2 linked regions of the Oryctolagus cuniculus genome follow. The protein of the gene in region 1 binds, or shares a complex with, the protein of each later gene. Links are inferred from orthologs where the notes say so. Each region holds a gene or a part of one and is shown on either strand. Other genes may lie near its edges.

Evidence for each region.
Region 2: the proteins of SNAP29 (region 1) and VAMP8 are in contact, whole or in part, in a crystal structure (PDB 4WY4), measured with the Homo sapiens proteins. The link is inferred for Oryctolagus cuniculus from reciprocal best matches to the Homo sapiens genes SNAP29 and VAMP8. Residues at the interface, in NP_004773.1 of Homo sapiens: Leu206, Leu209, Ser210, Leu213, Leu216, Lys217, Ala220, Leu221, Met223, Gln224, Ile227, Glu228, Gln230, Asp231, Leu234, Leu237, Thr238, Val241, Asp242, Leu244, Asp245, Ile248, Lys249, Thr251, Glu252, Val255, Arg256, Leu258; in NP_003752.2 of Homo sapiens: Leu16, Glu19, Val20, Val23, Ile26, Met27, Gln29, Asn30, Arg33, Ile34, Arg37, Asn40, Leu41, Leu44, Lys47, Thr48, Asp50, Leu51, Thr54, Ser55, His57, Phe58, Thr61, Ser62, Val65, Lys68, Phe69.

What each region holds. Positions count from the first base shown.
Region 1 is NC_091452.1:29,626,563-29,630,111, reverse strand, and holds part of SNAP29 (synaptosomal-associated protein 29), read right to left. Parts: intron 3,246-3,549; coding exon 3,049-3,245; intron 1-3,048. UniProt on the Homo sapiens protein: SNAREs, soluble N-ethylmaleimide-sensitive factor-attachment protein receptors, are essential proteins for fusion of cellular membranes.
Region 2 is NC_091433.1:117,071,419-117,075,675, forward strand, and holds the start of VAMP8 (vesicle-associated membrane protein 8), read right to left. Parts: upstream 2,832-4,257; 5' UTR 2,397-2,831; coding exon 2,394-2,396; intron 1,081-2,393; coding exon 925-1,080; intron 1-924. UniProt on the Homo sapiens protein: SNAREs, soluble N-ethylmaleimide-sensitive factor-attachment protein receptors, are essential proteins for fusion of cellular membranes.

The sequences.
Region 1 (3,549 bases):
GAGACCCAGAAGAAGCTCCTGGCTTCTGGCTCCGTATCACACAGTTCCAGCCATTGCAGCCATCTTGGGGAGTGAACCAGGGGATGGAAGATCTCTCTCTCTCTGCCTCTCCTCTCTGTGTAACTCTGACTTTCAAATAAATAAATCAATCTTAAAAAAAAAATAAACTAAATGAACATCCTACCTTTCCTGTGGCACAGGTTGAGCATCCTAGCCTGAACACCTAAAATCCTAAATGCTCCAAAACCCTAAACCTTTTTAGAAAAAGATTGATTTATTTATTTGCAAAGGTAGAGTGGCAGAGGGAGAGGAAGAGATTTTCTATCTGTTGGGTCAGTCCTCAAACGACCAACAATCAGGGCTGAGCCAGGCTGAAGTCAGGAGCCAGGCTCTATGTGGGTCTCCCAGGTGGGTGGCACAGACTCCAGTACTTGACTCGCTGCATCTCTGCTGCCTCCCAGGAGCATTAGCAGGGAGCTGGATCAGAAGCAGAGCAGCCAGGACTTGAACTGGTGCTCCATCATCGGATGTAGGTGTCCCAAGTGTGGCTTAACCTGCGGTGCCACAACTCCTGCCCTGCCCCCAATCTGAAACTTCTTGAGCGCTGCTGAGTTTTAGATCTTGGAGCATTTTGGAATTAGGAATGCTCAATTGGTAAAGTCTATGCAAATATTCCAAAATCCAAAAAAAACTAAAATCTGTAACACTTCTGTCCCAAGCATTTCTGATGAGGGATACTCATCTATAATTAAAAGCAGCCAAAGAAGGCCGGCGCCGCGGCTCACTAGGCTAATCCTCCGCCTAGCGGCGCCGGCACACTGGGTTCTAGTCCCGGTCGGGGCGCCGGATTCTGTCCCGGTTGCCCCTCTTCCAGGCCAGCTCTCTGCTGTGGCCAGGGAGTGCAGTGGAGGATGGCCCAAGTACTTGGGCCCTGCACCCCATGGGAGACCAGGATAAGTACCTGGCTCCTGCCATCGGATCAGTGCGGTGCGCCGGCTGCAGCACGCCAGCCGTGGCGGCCATTGGAGGGTGAACCAACGGCAAAAAAGGAAGACCTTTCTCTCTGTCTCTCTCTCTCACTGTCTACTCTGCCTGTCAAAAAAAAAAAAAAAAAAAAAAAAAAAGCAGCCAAAGGAAAACCCAATTCTGTTATGAGAAAGAGTGACAGGGATTTAAAGTTAGGGTCGGGGCCGGCATTGCAGCATAGCAGGTAGGGCTGTCACCTGTGATGCTGACATCGCTTATGAGTGCTGGTTTGAGTCCCGGCTCCTCCACTTCTGATCCAGCTCCCTACTAAAGCACCTGGGAAAACAGCAAAGATGGCCTAGGTAATTGGGCCCCTGCACTCACGTGGGAGACTCAGATGAAGTTCCTGGCTCGTGACTTGAATCTGCCCCAGGCCTGGCTGTTATGGTCATCTCGGGAGGGAACCAGCAGATGCAAAATCTCTGCTTCTGTCTCTCCCTCTTTCTCTCTTTGTAACTCTGCCTTTCAAATAAATGAATTAATAAATCTCAGAAGTAATTAATTAAAATCAGGGTCAAGCTGGAAAATCTGCGCGAAGTGGTGGTTGGGCCTAAGCCAGACAAATCAACCCTGGTGCATCTACGGGAGTAGCCCCAGGGCATTGCAGAGGCCTGCTTTCCTCCCTGCAGTGTCCGATCCAGACGCCCGGAGCCTCCCCCACCTCTTCTCTCTGCTACCATTACTGGCTCTTTACCAACATTCCTTTCTTCCCAGACCCACTCAGCTTCAGGGAAGACTACAGCCCGATACAGCAGAGTGCTGGTTTGAGGACCAGCTCCTCTGCTTCAGGTCCAGCTTCCTGCTGAGGCTCCCAGGTGGCAGCAGACAACGGCTCAAGGCCTTATTGCTCTGCCACCTCTGTGGGTGATTTGTATGGAATTCCTGACTCATGGCTCCAGCATGGTCTAGCCCTGGCTGTTGTGGGCATTTGGGGAGTAACCCAGTGGATGGAAAAATCCCTCTATGCCTTTTGTATTATTTTTTAAAATATTTGTTTTTATTCATTTGAAAGAGAGTTATGGAGAGACAGAGAGAAATTTTCATCTGCTGGTTCACTTCCCAAATGGCTTCAATGCCTGGAGCTGAGCAAATCCGAAGCCAGGAGCTTCTTTCGGGTCTCCCACGTGGCTACAGGGGCCCAAGGACTTGGGCCGTCTTCTACTGCTTTCCCAGGCACATTAGCAGGGAGTTGGATTGGAAGTGGAGCAGTCAGGATTTGAACCAGTGCCCATATGGGATGCCAGTGCTGCAGTCTGGGGCTTTATCCTGCTGTGCCACAGTGTCTGCCCCTGTATCTTTTAAGTAAATGAAAATAAATAAAAAAGTGAAAAGCAATGGGCAAATTGAATTATATGTAGAACACCTGGGTGGGAAAAATGACTTTTTAAAGTACAGATACTGCTGGGGCCAGCTCTGCAGTATAGCGGGTTAAAGCCCTGGCCTGAAGCACCGGCATCCCACATGTGCGCCAGTTCTAGTCTTGGCTGCTCCTTTTCTGATCCAGCTCTCTGCTACAGCCTGGGATAGCAGTACAAGATGGCCCAAGTGCTTGGGTCCCTGAATCCACGTGGGAGACCCAGAAGAAGCTCCTGGCTCCTGGCTTTGGATTGGCACACCTCTGACCATTGTGGCCATCTGGGGAGTGAACCAGCGAATGGAAGACCTCTCTATCTGTCTCTACCTCTCTCTGTAATTCTGTCTGTTAAATAAATAAAATAAATCTTTTAAAAAAATAAAGTACAGATATTGTGTAGGGAGTCCCTTACAGCCTGATCTAACTTTCTGAGGTGAACACTCTCAGTACTGGGGTGACAATCAGTATAGCAGGAATTTACTGGAAACCCAACTTATGCACAATCTGCAGACTAGGTGCCAATCAAATACATATAATCAGGCGTGGGAAGATGGGTTAACACAAAACCCTCCTGAAGTATAACTTACAGGCTTCCTGAATCCCCTCATGGCTCGGCCAAGGCCTGGAAGTCTTCCGTTCACGCCAAAGCCCACTTCTGCTACACTCACCTGCTGTTGGGCTGGGGGGTGCCGGTGCCATTCTGTTCAGGGGCCGCCTCTGCGGGTTTGGATTTGAAGTAATTGACAAGGCCCCCGAACATGCTCTTAATGCTGTTGATGTGCTTCTGGCTGGTCTTCAAATCTTGGTCCATCTTGTCCACCATCTTCTCCGTGCGTTCTAAGACTCCTCGCTGACGGACGAGCTCCTAGGAAAGACACGTGGCAGTTATCCTTCTGGTAGTTCTCCCTGGCCCATGAGAACCACATGTGGGTACTCCATAAATGCGAAGCACATGTCGGGGCAGACGCTGTCACCTGTGAAGGGCACGTCATCATTTTTTGCTTAAAAGATTTATATTATTAATTTGAAAGGCATAGTTAGAGAGAGAGTGAGCACTTCCATCTGGCTGGGTCACTCTCCAAATGGCTGCAACGGCTGGAGCTGAGCTGATCTGAGGCCAGGAGCTTCTTCTGGGTCTCCCACTGGGTTGTAGGGGCCCAAGCACTTGG
Region 2 (4,257 bases), on another chromosome or scaffold:
TCGGGAAGTGAACCAGCGGACGGTTCCCTCTCTCTGTAAATCTTTTTGTTTGTTTGTTTTTAAGATTTATTTTATTATTTATTTGAAAGGCAGAGTTACAGAGAGGCAGAGAGAGAAGTCTTCCATCCATTGGTTCACTCCCCAAGTGGCCTCAATGGCCGGGGCTGGGCTGAAGCCAGGAGCTTCTTCTGGGTCTCCCACATGGGTGCAGGATTTGGGCCAGTCTTCTATGCTCTGCCACAGCAGAGAGCTGGATCAGAAGTGGAGCAGCCGGGACTCAAATCAGCGCCCATATGGGATGCCAGGACTACAGGTGGCAGCTTTACCGGCTATGCCACAGCGCCGGCCTCTGTAAATGTATTTTTTTAAAAGATTGATTGATTTATTTGAAAGGCAGAGTCACAGAGAAGCAGAGGTAGAGAGAGAGACAGAGACAGAGAGGTCTTCTATCCATTGGTTCATTTCCCAAATTGCTGCAACATCTGGAGTTGGGCTCATCAGAAGCCAAGAGCCTGGAGCTTCTTCTGGGTCTCCCAAGTGGGTGCAGGGACCCAAAGACTTGAGCCATCTTCTACTGCTTTCCCAGGCCATAGCAGAGAGCTAAGAGTAGACGGGACACAAACCAGTGCCCACATGGGATGCTGGCACTGTAGGCAGCAGCTTTTACCACTACACAGTAAAATGAGCGGGCTGACTGAGCCACCTGTGTGCCTCAGAAAATGTCTCTGTGGGTCACCCCACCCCAACCCCAGTCATCAGACTCATTCCTTGGTCCCATACCAATCAATGGAGCAGAGCAGAATAGGAAATGGGGACCCAGCTCATGCCAATTCCTGAAATAGATGCAAAGGCAACAGAAACAGCAGAGCCTCGCCCCTCCCGTTCACCATGCCCTCCCTTGGTCCCAGGGTCTTCCCGTCTCACAGTGGCTTCCAGGTCCTCTGTCTTGTTGCGCAGCTGGTCCAGGTTTTCTCCTCGTGCCAGGATCCGCTCCACATTCTGGGTCATTATATTCTTGACTCCCTCCACCTCACTCTGCAGGTTCCGCACTCGGTCATCTCCGCCTCCGCTGGCCGCCTCCTGCGCACAGCACAGGGGCTAATTAGGCCAAGTGACAGAGGACCAGAGGGAGACCCAGCCACAGAGGCCAGGGCAGTGGAAGGCCTCAGGTGGACGTCAGCCTTTACAATGCTTGCATTGTTTACAAACTATCTTTTCCTGCTTTAATGCATCTGTAAGCCCCAGCAGGTGAGATCTGATGCTGGACACCATCACTCAAACTTTCGGGTTCCCAGGGCTCCTGGCAAGGAAGAAAGCAGCATGGCTAACTCCCTCTCGGCTGCTTCCTCCTCCTCATGGGGTCGCAGGCACTGCAGAGCTGGCATCTCACAATGTCCCCCTCCAGCGCAGACCCCCCGCGATTTACCAAGTCCTAGAGCCCTCCCTTGCTTCCTGGACCCCCCTGAGTCTTCATTAAACCTGTCAGTGCCAGCCAGCAGGACGCCCCACCTGGCCCAAGCCTGCTCCGGCTCCCGGACAGCTGCTGGAGGATTGCTTCGGCTCCGGGGCTTCCTGGACAGCCTGACCCTAGTTCCATGGCTATGACCCAGAGCCAACAAGTCCCTCACACGGCGCCATGATCCGCTGAGCACACACTTCTGCTTTCCCCACCTCTCAGCAGAGCCTGTGCAGATACTAAGTGAAAACAGGCACCTGGGCGCTGGGGGAAATGGAGGACAAGTGCTGCCCGCCTGCTGCCTGCCTCATCCTGCAGGGTTCATGATAAGGTTTTTGATCAAGGAGGGAAAACAGGCCTCCCAGCCTGGCCCTCGGGGGGGGGGGGGGGCAGAACCTTGCCAAGGGTGTGGGGCGAAGCTGGATTATCGCAGAGAACCAACTTATGGGTCTTTTACAGGCCCCCGGCTGCTTCCTTAGACGCGGTACAGAGGGATCCTTTGGGTTTCTGCATAGGGAGAAAGCGGGAGGCCCGGTGGGAGAACTCCCGCCGCCGCTGGCCTGGAATCTGAGCCGGGAACAGCAGAGGCGCTTGCTGTCCAGCGGTGTCACAACACCCAGTTTGTCCCTGCCAGGGGAGGCGGGGGCGGGGGGCGGCAGAAAGTGGCAGCAACTCTTTGCCTGGAATTCGGACGCCCCCCCAACCCCCACCGCGGCCCTGCTCGGGGCCAGCACGGAGGCCAGGGGAGGGAGGTAGTGGGGCAGGGACAGGAACACCGCCCAGGCGGCTCAGAAGTATTTGCGGCCAAGTTGTCAGAGAGGCCACAGACAGCGCCGGCCCCAGCCCTCTGACTTCACCACGCACCCTCCCCTCTCGGCAAGGCCAAGCCCCAGTCCCCAGCCCCCTTTAGAAAGCAGCCCCCGTCCGGATCGCTCACCATGTCTGCGAGTCGCTGGGGCCCGTCAGCGGCGGAGCTCACCCAGGCTGCTTCCTCCCGGGCAGCCCTCGCTCCACTTCCTGCTTGCTCCAACTTTCAGCCCGCCCCTGCCCACCTCCATCCCTGCGCTCGCGCCACACCTAACGCAGGTTTCCTCAGGTAGGCGGGCTCCCGCCCCCGCCCTCCCAGTCTCCACCCAACCAGGGCTTAAACTTAAAGCCACAAGGCTCCCCGGGAGGGCACCGAAGGTCTTGCCACTTGCCAGAAACGACAAAGCAAAGATCAAGCAACCTTCCTAGGTTTCCTGAGGCGGGACAGACTCCTTTTTATGTCTGGGATGTCTTAAGCACCCTGCGGGCCGAGATCACGTGAAAACAGGTGCAGAGGTGACAAGATCTTGCCGAAGCCCTTGTACTTAGGACTGCAAACACTGGGAAAAGTCTGGAATGCTGTCACCCCAGGCTCGGGTGTCAGAAAGCTCAGGGTTACCGGCTGCATGCTGCCTAGTGAACTTCCTCACCTCTTTCTGTATTGCAGGTGCAAAGGAGTAAAAGACAGCTCACACAATGTGCCTGACAGTGCCTTGAACAAAATAAGTAATCAGGAAATGATGGCCCACCAGCCCTTCCCCTTCCCTTCCCAATTGCCTTGCATGTGCCTTGGGAGGACAGTGTGTGTGTGTTTTGGGGGAGGTTGCTGACCCTATCAGTGGTCAGAGGACAGCCCAATGAACCAGACAGGGACGACCCAGGGCAAAGGATTTTTCCACCAACCTGGCCCTGGGCCAGAGAAAGGCCAGAAAAAAAATCCTCTCTTCCTGGATGGTGTTTATCAAGACACAAGAACAGTAACAGGGACCTGCAGAAGGGAACAAACATTCTTGCCTCTTCCCAGAAGAAATGGCAGTTCCAAAGAGGAAATATCAACTTCACCAACACATACTTTTAAAAAGAGAGAGAGATTTATCTGAAAGGCAGAACACCAAGAGAGGACAAGAAACAGAATAAGAGTGATCTTCCATCTGCAGGATCATTCTCCAAATAGCTGCAACAGCCAGGTCTGGGCCAGGCTGAAGCCAGGAGCCAGGCACTCCATCCAGGTCTCCCATGTGGCTGGCAGGGGCCCTGGTACTTGGGCCTTCCTCTGCTGCCTACCCGAACACGTTAACAGGAAGCTGGATATAAAGTGGAGCAGTCGGGACTCAAACCAGTGCTTTTAAAAAGTCTTTAATACATTTTGTCTTGAGACATCTTTTTTCTAACTTAAATACAATTTTGTCCCCAATTAGGTTGTAAGTTTATTAGATTATACAGACATGAATTTTAGTGGCCAGGACAAATAGCCTGGGAAACAAAGTGTGTACCAGCCTGCTTTGGCAAAGAAACATGGCTGCCTCACCCTTCTCAGGTTGCCACAAGGCCAGGTGGAGGAGGAGTGGAATTCTTAGTCTCTACTTGTGTCATCCAGACCAGTTGCCATTAACCACTTGGGCTGTTGAGTACTTGAAATGTGGCCAGTCTGAACTGAGATGTGTTGTAAATGTAAAATACACACCAGAGTTCAAAGACGTAGTATGAAAAGAAGAATGGAAATATCGCATTCATAATTTCATATGTTGATGGCATGTTAGAATAATGTCTCGGGGGGTGAGTATTATGGCGCAGTTTTTAAACCACAGCTCAGGACACCTGCATCCCATATCGGAGTGCCAGTTTGAGTCCCGGCTACTCCACTTCCCATCCAACTTCCAGCTACTGCCTGGGAGGCAGCACATGAAGGCCCAAGTGCTTGAGTCCCTGCCACCCACATGGGAGATCCAGATGGAGCTCCGGGCTTCTGGCTTTATTCTGGCCCAGGCTTGCTG